3 linked regions of the Macaca fascicularis genome follow. The protein of the gene in region 3 interacts with the protein of the main gene of each other region in a biochemical or structural test. Links are inferred from orthologs where the notes say so. Each region holds a gene or a part of one and is shown on either strand. Other genes may lie near its edges.

Region 1 (4,168 bases), on a different chromosome or scaffold from region 3:
GTGCCTCCTCTTGTCTCTACCCTGGCCTTCCTAGGCCTGAGTCCCAGGCACACACCTGTGTGAATGGCCCAGCTCCGGAACAAACAGGCATCCTTGTTGATGTCCCAGCCATGCTTGGCAGCATGCTTCCATGGGATCTGGAAGATCATCTCCTCCTGAACAACACACACATATACACGAGGCTGTGTCAGCTCAGAGGCCACAGACTTTGGGGCTGAGTCTGAGACCCAGGCTTGCCCAGCCAGACAGGTCTGAGAAAAGGCTGACTTCCCCTTTTCCCCCTGCCATCTGGCTTGGACTGACCCATCTTTAGGCTGGCTTAAACAGACCACTCGGGATCTCTCAGGAGGGACTCCTAGTTCGGATGAGCTGCAGCACTATTAGCTCACAAAGACCTCCCTCTGCCTGTTACACATGTGCTAGGACCCACACAGGGCACCCTCCCCCAAAGCCCTGATTTTGAAGCTCTGGGATGTTTCTCTCTGGCTTGTAAACACCAACATGGAAGTAAGAACTTCTTCCATTAGAAAGGACTCCTCAGGACACCTGGGACCATGGGCTTCTACACAAGAGGTCCTGGTCATACGACTGAGGGAGCTAGACTTGGATGGTGAACACTGTGTAACCCTGGCATTGTCACTGTATCTCTTTTCCCCTCAGTTTTCTCTTCTCTGAAATGAGAAAACATATCCAACAAAATTTTGAGAATTAAAAACCAGAGAATGTGTAGGGACACAGTGACAAATATGAAGTCTAAGGTCTTACTGTTATTATCACTGATGGTTAACAGTAAAGATTTCTGAGTCAGACCATTCAAGTTCAAATCTTGGCTTCATCACTTTTTGTGTGATCTTACAATCTTCCTCTCAGTGCCTCTGTTTACTTATCTGAAAATGATGACATGAACAGGACCTACCCCACAGGACTACTGCGAGGATTAAATGACACAATGTAAATAACATACGTAGCAGGTGCCAGGCACACAGAGAGTGTTCAGTAAGCATTAGCTATTATTATGAATACTATCATTGCTACTAAGCCTATAGTGTCTATGTTGCCCCAAGTGCACCAGCTATAGGCTTCTTGGGCCACAGTGACTGGTGCAAGATTGATTCGTTTGTCCTCTGCTAAGCCAGCCACCTTTCTGCCCAGCAGCATCCACTTCTCAAGTCTTCTATTTGTTTGATTAGAGCCCTGCAAGGTGCTGTGTATGTTTGTAAGGGTCTCCCTCAGAGGAGACCAGAACTCCAGCTCTGCAGATGCTGGGAAAGTCTTGCTGCTGGAAACTGGAAGTGCCTTCAGGTGGGTGCCCTACCTCAAGAAGGGAAGAAAGCAGGAGTCGTGCAAGTGAGGCCCAGGCTGGGCCTTGCACACTCCCTCCCTGCATGCAGGACCCATTGGGAGAAACATCTGCCTGTCCTGTTATCACTTCCCTTTTTGAGCTGCATCTGAAGCTTTGGTCCCTCCAGAAGTACATGGGTTAAAACAGTGGCAGGAAAACCCAAAGAGTTACACTCACTTTATTAATCCAGATGAGCCCCGGGATTTGGTTGGAATTAATCTGCATCTCTAGCCAGGGTCTCATGCGCATCCGAGTGATGGGCATGTTGGCTGTAAAGAGAAGACAGAGGCTCCAGTCTGGAATCTGTTGAACAGTACCTGGGCACTGACCTGCCCCACCCGAGTTCACTTAGTTACCCTCCCCTCAGCCAGCTACTAGGTACTACACTCAGTGGGGAGGGGAGCTGCCCTGGAATAAAACTGCTCTCCAAGTTTTTTCAGCATCTTAGGCAAAAATGCTTCTGCCCCTTCCTCCATCCCAGCCAGTCTCTGGATGAGACAGGCATGCAAGTGATGGCTTTAGGATTCATGTGCAGGAAAAGAGAGAAAATGCACAGATATCCTAATTTCAGAACTTTTCGCTCAAAATTCAAATCCTTTGGGAAGGGAGGGACTTCTTTTGCTTGATGCCAAGAAGAAATTCCCTTGACTTGAGTTGTCACCACTAGCTAGTAAAGGGCTAGCCATCACCCTGAACAGCCCCCCTGAATCCATTCTACGCCCTCCTGACAGTCACAGAGCCCACTACGCTAAGACTAGGACGCTAACCCTTCCGGCCCGGTTTCCCCTCCTCTGGAGAAGCGGCCCAAGGAACACCTGTGGCGCCTCTTCCCGCAGTCTCCGTAGGTCACGATTCCCTCCAGCCACCTGGGCAGTAAGCCAGCCCTTGTCACCAGCACAGGGAGCCCAAAACCTGGGGCCTGGGCGCGAAGCTGGGACCGCCGAAAGCCGGGAGCACTGGGCGCCCACGCGTGGGCGGACACTCGGTCCCCGGCACGGCGTGTGGATGCGCGGGACGAACGTAGCGGGCCACCTACAGGCCCCCAGCGGCTGCGCGCACGCATATCTGCGAAAGCTGCCCGGCGCCGGCAGCCTCGTCCGGGTGGGCGGTCCACGCCGCGGCCCGCCCTCCCCGCGCCGCGGCTCGCAGCTCCTCCGGCGCCCCCCGGAGCCCGCGCGGGGGCCCGGGCAACGCCGCGCTCCCGCGAGTCTCCAACCTGGGGTTTTCGAACCCCCACTTCCTGGTGCCCCGCGCGCCTTTTATTCGACGCCGCCGGTCCCCCGCGCCGCAAAAGCGGACTCACCTTTGCTGCAGGAGCGATTCGGCGGCGGCGCGCGAAGGTCCCGGCGGCGGCGCGCGAAGGTCCCGGCGACGCAGGGGCTGCCGTGAGGGGGCGCGGAGCGCGACTCCGGGTGGAAGGGGGAAGAAGGCAGAGGCTGTCTGGGTCTCAAGGCCGCTGGGCACGGCTGGCGTGGGCTGGGCAAGGCTCCGGGTGGCCTCGGTTCGGCGGGGCTCGGGCGCACGTCCTGCCTCGACGAAGGAGTGGCGAGCTCTGCCAGGGCAGCGGCGCCACCGAGCAATCCAAACACTTAGCGGGATTCCCCAGCCCTGGCCGGCCCCGCCTCCGGACAGCCGCGCGGGCGCCCATTGGCCGACTGCGTGCCGTCATTTCGGGGAAATCAGGCTGTTGTAGAGCTAGCGGCGAAGGGGAAGTACAGGGCGGCTGCTCCGCCCCACCCTCTCCGGCCGGGCGCCACCGCCCCGGGGCCACCACGGGCCCGCCCCGCGCGCTCCCCATCCACCCCTGCTCCGGCTCGCCCGGAGGAGGGCTGCCCTGGACAGCCCGGCACCCCCGGCCCCAGCCTCTCCTCTCACTCCGCCTTCTCCCAGCCGGCTGGCTCCTGGGGCCATCTTTTCACCCTCCTGGCGGGTTGGGGGCGGGGGTCTATCTCCTGAACGCAGGTGAGGGGATCGCCCGGGCACTTGCCGCCCTCTCCAGGGGGAACACCGGCCGAATCTCCCGACTGGCAACCTGGCTCCTCAAGCTTGCCAGTGGGGTATCAAGAAGGGAGAGTTTCAGTCCTAGCACTACCCCTGTTTTTAGGGGTGACCCCCTTTCTCCAGGTCACTCACCTGCCCTGGGGAAGTGAAGGAAGCAGAAAGCCTACCCTGCACCGTGTGCTGTCTGGGGCTGCTGAACCAGGGGAAATCTCAACTTGGCCGCTGCTGGCACAGCCCCCAAGGGACTCAGGACCTCCGTTTTTCAACCATAAAATAACAGTAGCCCTACCTTGATGGTTTGCTGTGATTGTAAAGCACTATGCTCCACTCGGGCAACAGACGCTGAGTAGTTTTCAAGGTCGCCGTTCCAGGGTCTAATAGTGACCAGGATGACACCCCACCCCTTTTTGGTCTGCCTCCCTGGGACTCCCCCTGGCTGGCCTTAGGGAACAGAGGAGGAGAAGGGGTTCAGAGAAGCCCAGATGGCTGAGTGAGGGTGGGGGTGGGGTAGTTCTGATCCCTCCTAATACACAGGCCGCCTCCAGAGCCTCCCTGTGGCCCGCGTATGGGAGTTCCTCAATGGAAGTATTGCTGTCATCTCTGAGTCCCCAGGGCTTGGCCCAGAGAGGTTCTGGGCAGCATGGAGGAATTAGCTCAGGGCTGATCAACGCCATGGACCTAGCGAAAGGGTTGGGGAACCCAGGTCCTATGTTCCTTGGTAAGGGCCCCTACTTAACTCGCGCTCACAACTAGTCCCCGCCCCACTTATAGTCCTAGAGACTTGACTGGGTGTTCATTTTCCATCCAAAACTCTGGCCCAGGAGG
Region 2 (3,434 bases), on a different chromosome or scaffold from region 3:
GGCACCTATTATGCGCTTGTTGAATCCATTTAAAATATGGATTAGAAAAGCAGGACCGCACTTCTGAGAGCTACACAGTCTGCGGACCCTGAGAGTGATAGGAAATATCCTGCAGCACGAGAAACACCCTGGGGGAGACGCCCCCATCTACACCCCTGTACTTTCTCGAAACCACAAAAATGTTTTCCTTTTTTCAGGTTGGCTTAAGCAAGTGGAGGTCTTTGGGATTCTATAAATAGATGCATTTGTAAAAAGCCAAGTAATTTTAAGACCCTGTCAAACTATAATTGGCCTGAGGAAGCACAGAACAGATGAAAGAAGCAGAAACAGCCCACTGGGTGTGCAGCTCCGCAGCCAGCTCCATCCTGCTTCCAGCGGCCGCTCCTGGCAGTGCTCGCCAGCCTGCGCGTCCCGGCTCCTCCTCCTTTAGTGTCACCGTGGCTGATCAGTGCACAGTCAAACAGACAGACGAGAGTGGCACAGAGGAGGGGAACAGACAGCTTAGTACTTGGACAGAAGGGCAACAGTTCAGGTAGTAAGATAAATGCTCCTTAACTTCTTCTTTATGAGAAGAATTTAACATTTCTAGAGAATGAGGGACAAAAAGACATAGAAACAAGAAAACTTAACCGTCACTTAGACATTACTCGATGGTAGGACAGACAAAAATGTCCCATCCAAGAGGAACTATCCTGTTTTTTGGCACAAGAAATTAGTAAGTTTACTAACTGACTTCCAGGGAAGGCCAAGGAGAGAAGCCCGTGGGAAGGAAGGCGGGGCAGAGGGGCCCACACCAGGAAACCACTGGCAGGTGGGGAAGGGGCCTCCCCCAGGCTACAGGCACAACTTCAGTCAAAGATTCCATTTCCTTCACTCCGCAAGTGTCCTCCACAAGAACTGCAGCTCCTACATACATTAATACATTTCTTCTATGTGTGAGGCTTCTTCCGTTTACACCTTACTTCCCTGAGAAATGGTACAGACTCGCCTGCAGTCATCGCTCCAGTCAGTGTCAACACTGAAAGGCAAGTGTTCTCAGTCCTCCAGCAAGACCTAGTCTACACCAAATTAAAGAACACATTTCAGCAAATGTAAACACATCACGGGGTCAGTTTTCACAGTGATCATCAATGATGGCAGTCTACAGAGCGCAAGAAGTGCAAAGCCACCTTCCTTTCGGAATAAGCTCATCTGCCAATCAGATGTCACTGATTTTCCACAGTTGTCTGGCGGCAATTCTCCTCAGCTACTGCACTGAAATCTTCACTTCTGAGTTCCTCAAAACAGCAAGAGGGCAGTCAACTGGATGCTTTCACTAAAGTCAAATATTTACAATGAAAATCGTCTGTGTTGGGTGGGTGCAGTGGCTCACACCTTAATCCCAGCTACCAGGGAGGCTGAGGCAGGAGAATCTCTTGAACCTGGGAGGCGGAGGTCGCAGTGAGCTGAGATCGTGTCACTGCACTCCGGCCTGGGAGACAGTGCAAGACCCTGTATCAAAAAAATAAAATAAAAAATAAAAATAGAAAAAAAAAAAAGGAAAAAGAAAACCACTCATCTTGACATTTTTCATTCTTGAATGGAGGAATGGCGGATAGATCTGTGGTAATCTTCTGGATTGCTGATGTGTTCCGGTAAATCGTAGCCCCTCAGGAAATGTCCACTGTTTTGTTGAGCAAAATAATATAATTGTCTGGCGAGCAGAGGTTCTACCTTTAATAAGAGATTTTTAAAAAGACATTACTGAGATATCCCGCAACTGGCTCACTATTAAACAGCACTCAGATTCTAAGCAGACAGTAACGTAAAGCCCAAAGTTACGTCCTAGAACACGTCAAAACATTTCATATATGGAGCCATCTAAAGAAGCAATTTTTTTGTTAGTCCTTCCATAGATCAACATGTAAAAAAACAGTCAAAGCTACTTAATTCTGGGTTAAAGATGTTACTTTTAAATCAGCTGCCACTTAAAATGTACATTTAACTAAAACTGAATCAAATCAAGTAAAGTGATTAAATGAAAAGGAAGTCTGAGGTAATCTGCAGGGTAATTTAGGCCAATGATTTTGTTTTTCCACAACTGCAGTTTGAAAGAAACAAGGGCTCATCCTGAATGATTTGATTTCTAGGTAATCGGTATCGTTCTAAACCAGAGGTAAAAGAAATAAAAAGTAAAGTTAAACAACAACAAAACTACTCTTGTGGAAAAAGAGAAGTTAACTGGCCTCAAATTTATCCCGTCTGGTTATTAGCATGAATCACGCTCACCAAAAAACAAAAACACCTTAACGTTCAGCTTTTCCTGAATTTACAGCATCTAAGGCAAGCTGAATGCTCTCCATCAATCACGATATTAAAGTCTATATTTTATATATAGCGACTTAAGCAAAACTCCTGAGTACCTGAAATGAATTAAATTAATAACTTTTAAAAGTGGAACTCATAGGTGTACATGTGTGTTTATTCATTTTACGGATCACACAGCCTCGTCTTCAGGATGACGGGATCATCTGGGGATCCATCTTTCCCTGACTTAGAGGACGGCAACTTCATCCAAGTCACCCTTAAAATTGGATTGATGTATAGCTGAGCTGATCATCAATTTCTTTTGTTTTCTTTTTTTTTTTTTTTTCTTGAGACAGAGCCTCACTCTGTCGCCCAGGCTGGAGTGCAGTGGTGCGATCTCGGCTCACTGCAACCTCTGACTCCTGGGTTCAAGTGATTCTCTTGCTTCAGCCTCCTGAGTAGCTGGGATTACAGGTGCGCACCACCACACCTGGCTAATTTTTGTATTTTTAGTAGAGGGGGGGTTTCACCATGTTGGTCAGGCTGGTCTCAAATTCCTGACCGCGTGATCCGCCCACGTGGGCCTCCCAAAGTGCTGGGATTACAGGCGTGAGCCACCGCACCTGGCCGATCATCAACTTCTTAAATGCTGCTTATCTATGCCAAGTTTATTTAGTCATTTAGCAATTCCTGCTGTTAACAACATATCAGTTATGATTTCAACAATCATAGCAATTGTTAAGTCAATCACTGGAGAGAACTCATGAGAAATCCTCAGTCTATGGGATTACACATTGGTTGGTGGGTTGGTCTTTGTTTTTAAAATCAAGAAGGGGGGTTGTATGTTCAAGATTAAACCATGTTTCATTTCAGTTCTCAATGAGAAACAGCATCAGAGCTACAATATGATGGGAATTTTGATGTTAGGGGTGTAAGTTTTACCTGGTATTGCTCACCATGCAAGCCCATTAATGATGCTTGCAAGTACATAGCAATGTGAAGTTTTCAAATTCAAAAGTCTTAAGGGTTCAAGATTCTGTTTTCCGTGGCAAATTAATGCTTCATGTCATCTATAGAAACCTTTTCTCATAAAAAAGAAAACTAACCCTAATCCTAACCCTAACCCTTTAGCATTACTTGCCACAGTT
Region 3 (3,646 bases):
CACTCACATGCACACACACTCAGACCTACTCACACCCCCAGATGCACGGTCACACCCACACAATGCATCTTCTCACACTTATACACATGCCCAGTCACACCCACTCACACATACACCTCACACCAGGTCTCACACACTCATGTGCTCACACGCCTGCTCATACACCTCACACCAGGTCTCATAATCACACCTGTTTATATATGCTTGCACAAACACACACCTGCTTACACATCTCACATTGCTCACCCTCACACCTCACATTGCTAACCCTCACACACACAAGCCTCTGCTCAGCACACGCATGCTTACATACCTCACACCATTCACACACACACCTACCCACTCACACATGGTCACACCTGCCCACACCTGCTCACACACATATTTGCACACACAGACCTCACACACATCACATTACTCACCCACACACATGCCCCTGCTCACACACTTATGCTCACACACACCTCACACCATTCACTCACACACACCCACTCACACTTGCTCACATGCTCACCTGTTCATACAACTCACACTCATACCTCACACTACGTCTCTCACACACACATGCTCACACGCTCATGCTCACAGACATGCTCACACCTCATACATGCTCACACCTCACACACACCCACTCATGCTTACACGTCACACATTCACACCCACTCACATGCTCACACCTCACACATAATCACACCTCACACACATGGTCACATCTCTCAATCACACCCACTCACACACCAGCCCACACATACCCACACACACATGCTCACACCTTATATGCCCACACCTCACACATTCCTGCTCACAGGCTTGCTCACACCTCACAGTTGCTCACACATGCACTCACAATGCTCACACCAGCTCATTCACACCTCATTGACACCTGCTCACTCATATTTCACACCACTTACTTGCACCTCACTCACACCTGCTCACGCATGCACACACATTCTACTCATACCCACTTGCATGCTTACACACCTGTTCACACACAACCAGACACCCACTTGCACACTCATGCTCACACACATTCTGCTCTCACACCCACTCAGCAGCTCACACACCTGCTCACAAGCTCACATGTCACATCTGCTCACACCCATTCTCTTGTTTTTGAGACTGAGTTTTGCTCTTATTGCCTAGGCTGGAGTGCAATGGCATGATTTTGGCTCACTGCAACCTCCGCCTCCCGGGTTCAAGCAATTCTCCTGTCTCAGCCTCCCAAGTAGCTGGGATTACAGGCATTCACCACCACGCCCAGCTAATGTTCGGTTTTTTTAGTAGAGACAGGGTTTCGCCATGTTGGCCAGGCTGGTCTCAAACACCTGACTTCAGGTGATCCGCCTGCCTCAGCCTCCCAAAGTGCTGGGATTACAGGCATGAGCCACCATGCCCAGCCCACTCACACCCATTCTCACACACTCATTCATATATCTTCTGTCTCACACACACACGTTCGCACACCTACTCACATGCACACCCACTCACACACCCAGGTGCTCAAGCATGCCCTCACCCCCCACATACACCTGCTCACGCACAAGAACACACACATGCTCACACATGCTAAAACACATATCCACTCACGTACATGCACAAACCTGCTCACATATACACATACATACTCACACACCCCAGCTCACACCTTCCTGCTCACACACACCTGCTTACATACACCCTCAAACATGTTCACATCCACTCACACATCCACTGACACCTACACACTCATGCCCATTCACACACTCACTTATATCACACACATCCCTGCTTATATACACATTCACACACACACTTGCTCACACACCTGTCATACCCCCACTCACACATATCACTCACGCCTGCTCACACCCACTCACATATACCATGCTCACATCCCTGCTCACACACGCATACCCACACACTGCTGACACCCACTGACATGATCATACATGCACACCTCACACACGTGCACACAACCACTCACACACACTGAAATACATTCATATGCTGATACACACAAACATGGCCACACCCACTCTCATCCACACCAGCTCTCACATTCACCTTCTCACACACCCACTCAGCCACTTGCACACATGCACCTGCCTACATCTGTTCACACACACTCACTCTGCACACTTGCTCACACACACCCAGATCTACACACACTCATGGCACAGAGACATACACACCTGGCACACTTCATGGAGATGCCTGTATGCACTCACAGCAGATACACACACACACACACACACATAGAGACGGCCACAGACAGCCCCACAAAACACATACATTGGCAAACATGCACACACACACACGCAACTTGGCGGCATGGCTGCTGGGTCAGTTGGCCTGGCTGGGTGGGGGAGGGCACAGACACAGCCAGGGTTGGGGCCAGGGTGGAGGGCCAGATGCCCCACCTGTCTCCCCAGGCAGGAGCCCAGGCCCAGGCTCCAGGCCGTCCGCCTCGCCGTCAGACACCTCCAGTGGGGGGCTCTGCCGCTCGCCCTCCTCCTCATCTGAGCTGGGCTGGGCTGGGGACAGGGGTGGGTACTGGAGGCACATCCGGGGCAGGTAGGAGACCTGGACGGTGGGGGAAGGAGATCAGAGTCAGGAAGGGCCAGCTTACAGCTCAGAGGGGCTGGGAGGGAGGTTAGCTGGGGAGAGAAGGAGTGCAGAAGGCAGGGGACAATGGCAGGCACAGGAGACTGGAGGAAGGCCAGGGAAAAGTGGGGCCAGTTGAGGCGCTGCACATAGGGTGCAGGCTGTGGGGCGAGGGGTGCTGACATCCAGCCCACCCAGCCCTCCCAGCTGGGCCTCCTGGTTTAGGGCTGTGGGCACCGGGGAAGCGGTGGCTTGCTCCCCTCCCTGCTGAGGTGTTATGTGGGCCCACAGTGGGCTGGTGCTGGGGGCTGGTGCATTGGGTCTGGAAGGGGGTTTGATAGGTGGGGTGATGAGTGGTGGGGGGACCCTGGAGGCCAGTAGGGGTGGTAGAGGTCAGCAGAGGTCACTGATTCAGATTAAGGTCAGTAGGGAGGGTCACTGGGGAGAGGCAGGGTCAGTAGACATGTTCAGTGACTTGGTGTGGGATCCATGAGGGCAAGTGAATGGGGGTGGAAGACAGTGAGGCCCACGAGGGCTCACAACAAGGCGTTGGGGTGGGGAGGCTCGGTGAGGTGCAAGAATTATCTGGGGTCTGTCCATACTCGGGGTGAGATGAGATAAGGGGTGTGGGGTCACGAGGTCACTCGGGGGGTCAGGCAGCAGCCGTTAGGGCTCCAGCCGCCGTTGGCGCTGTGGGGCAGGAAGCCGAGTTGGGTAAGAGCCTGTGTCAGCTTCCTGTGAAGCTCCCGGGCCCCACCACAGGCCTGGCAGTCTCCTGGGGGACGGGGCAGGCGGTGGCACGCACCTGGTGGCCAAGACTGGGATGGGGTGGCACCATGGGAGTGTCGAGGACATGCATCTGCTCCAGCTCCATGTGGCGGTAGAGCTGCTGCAGCTGCGGGGGCTGCACACTCTGGAGCTCCGTGAAGTTGTTCTCGGCGAAGCTCTCGAACTCGCTGTGCACGTGGTGGGGGTGGAAGTCCCAGTAATGGTCTGTGGGGGACAGCCAGGCAGTGTGGGGTGAGCTCAGGGTTGGGCAGGGCAGGAAAAGGTTGTAATAACA

The links.
Region 1: the proteins of SPI1 (region 3) and IRF1 form a complex in vitro, tested with the Homo sapiens proteins (2 studies listed by BioGRID). The link is inferred for Macaca fascicularis from reciprocal best matches to the Homo sapiens genes SPI1 and IRF1.
Region 2: the proteins of SPI1 (region 3) and IRF4 are reported together in a solved structure, tested with the Homo sapiens proteins (2 studies listed by BioGRID, with this or other methods). The link is inferred for Macaca fascicularis from reciprocal best matches to the Homo sapiens genes SPI1 and IRF4.

What each region holds. Positions count from the first base shown.
Region 1 is NC_088380.1:139,015,172-139,019,339, forward strand, and holds the start of IRF1 (interferon regulatory factor 1), read right to left. Parts: upstream 2,897-4,168; 5' UTR 2,646-2,896; intron 1,612-2,645; 5' UTR 1,607-1,611; coding exon 1,520-1,606; intron 156-1,519; coding exon 56-155; intron 1-55. UniProt on the Homo sapiens protein: Transcriptional regulator which displays a remarkable functional diversity in the regulation of cellular responses.
Region 2 is NC_088378.1:172,678,596-172,682,029, forward strand, and holds the end of IRF4 (interferon regulatory factor 4), read right to left. Parts: intron 1,714-3,434; coding exon 1,570-1,713; 3' UTR 548-1,569; downstream 1-547. UniProt on the Homo sapiens protein: Transcriptional activator. Binds to the interferon-stimulated response element (ISRE) of the MHC class I promoter. Binds the immunoglobulin lambda light chain enhancer, together with PU.1.
Region 3 is NC_088388.1:18,487,582-18,491,227, reverse strand, and holds part of SPI1 (transcription factor PU.1), read right to left. Parts: intron 3,577-3,646; coding exon 3,389-3,576; intron 2,563-3,388; coding exon 2,400-2,562; intron 1-2,399. UniProt on the Homo sapiens protein: Pioneer transcription factor, which controls hematopoietic cell fate by decompacting stem cell heterochromatin and allowing other transcription factors to enter otherwise inaccessible genomic sites.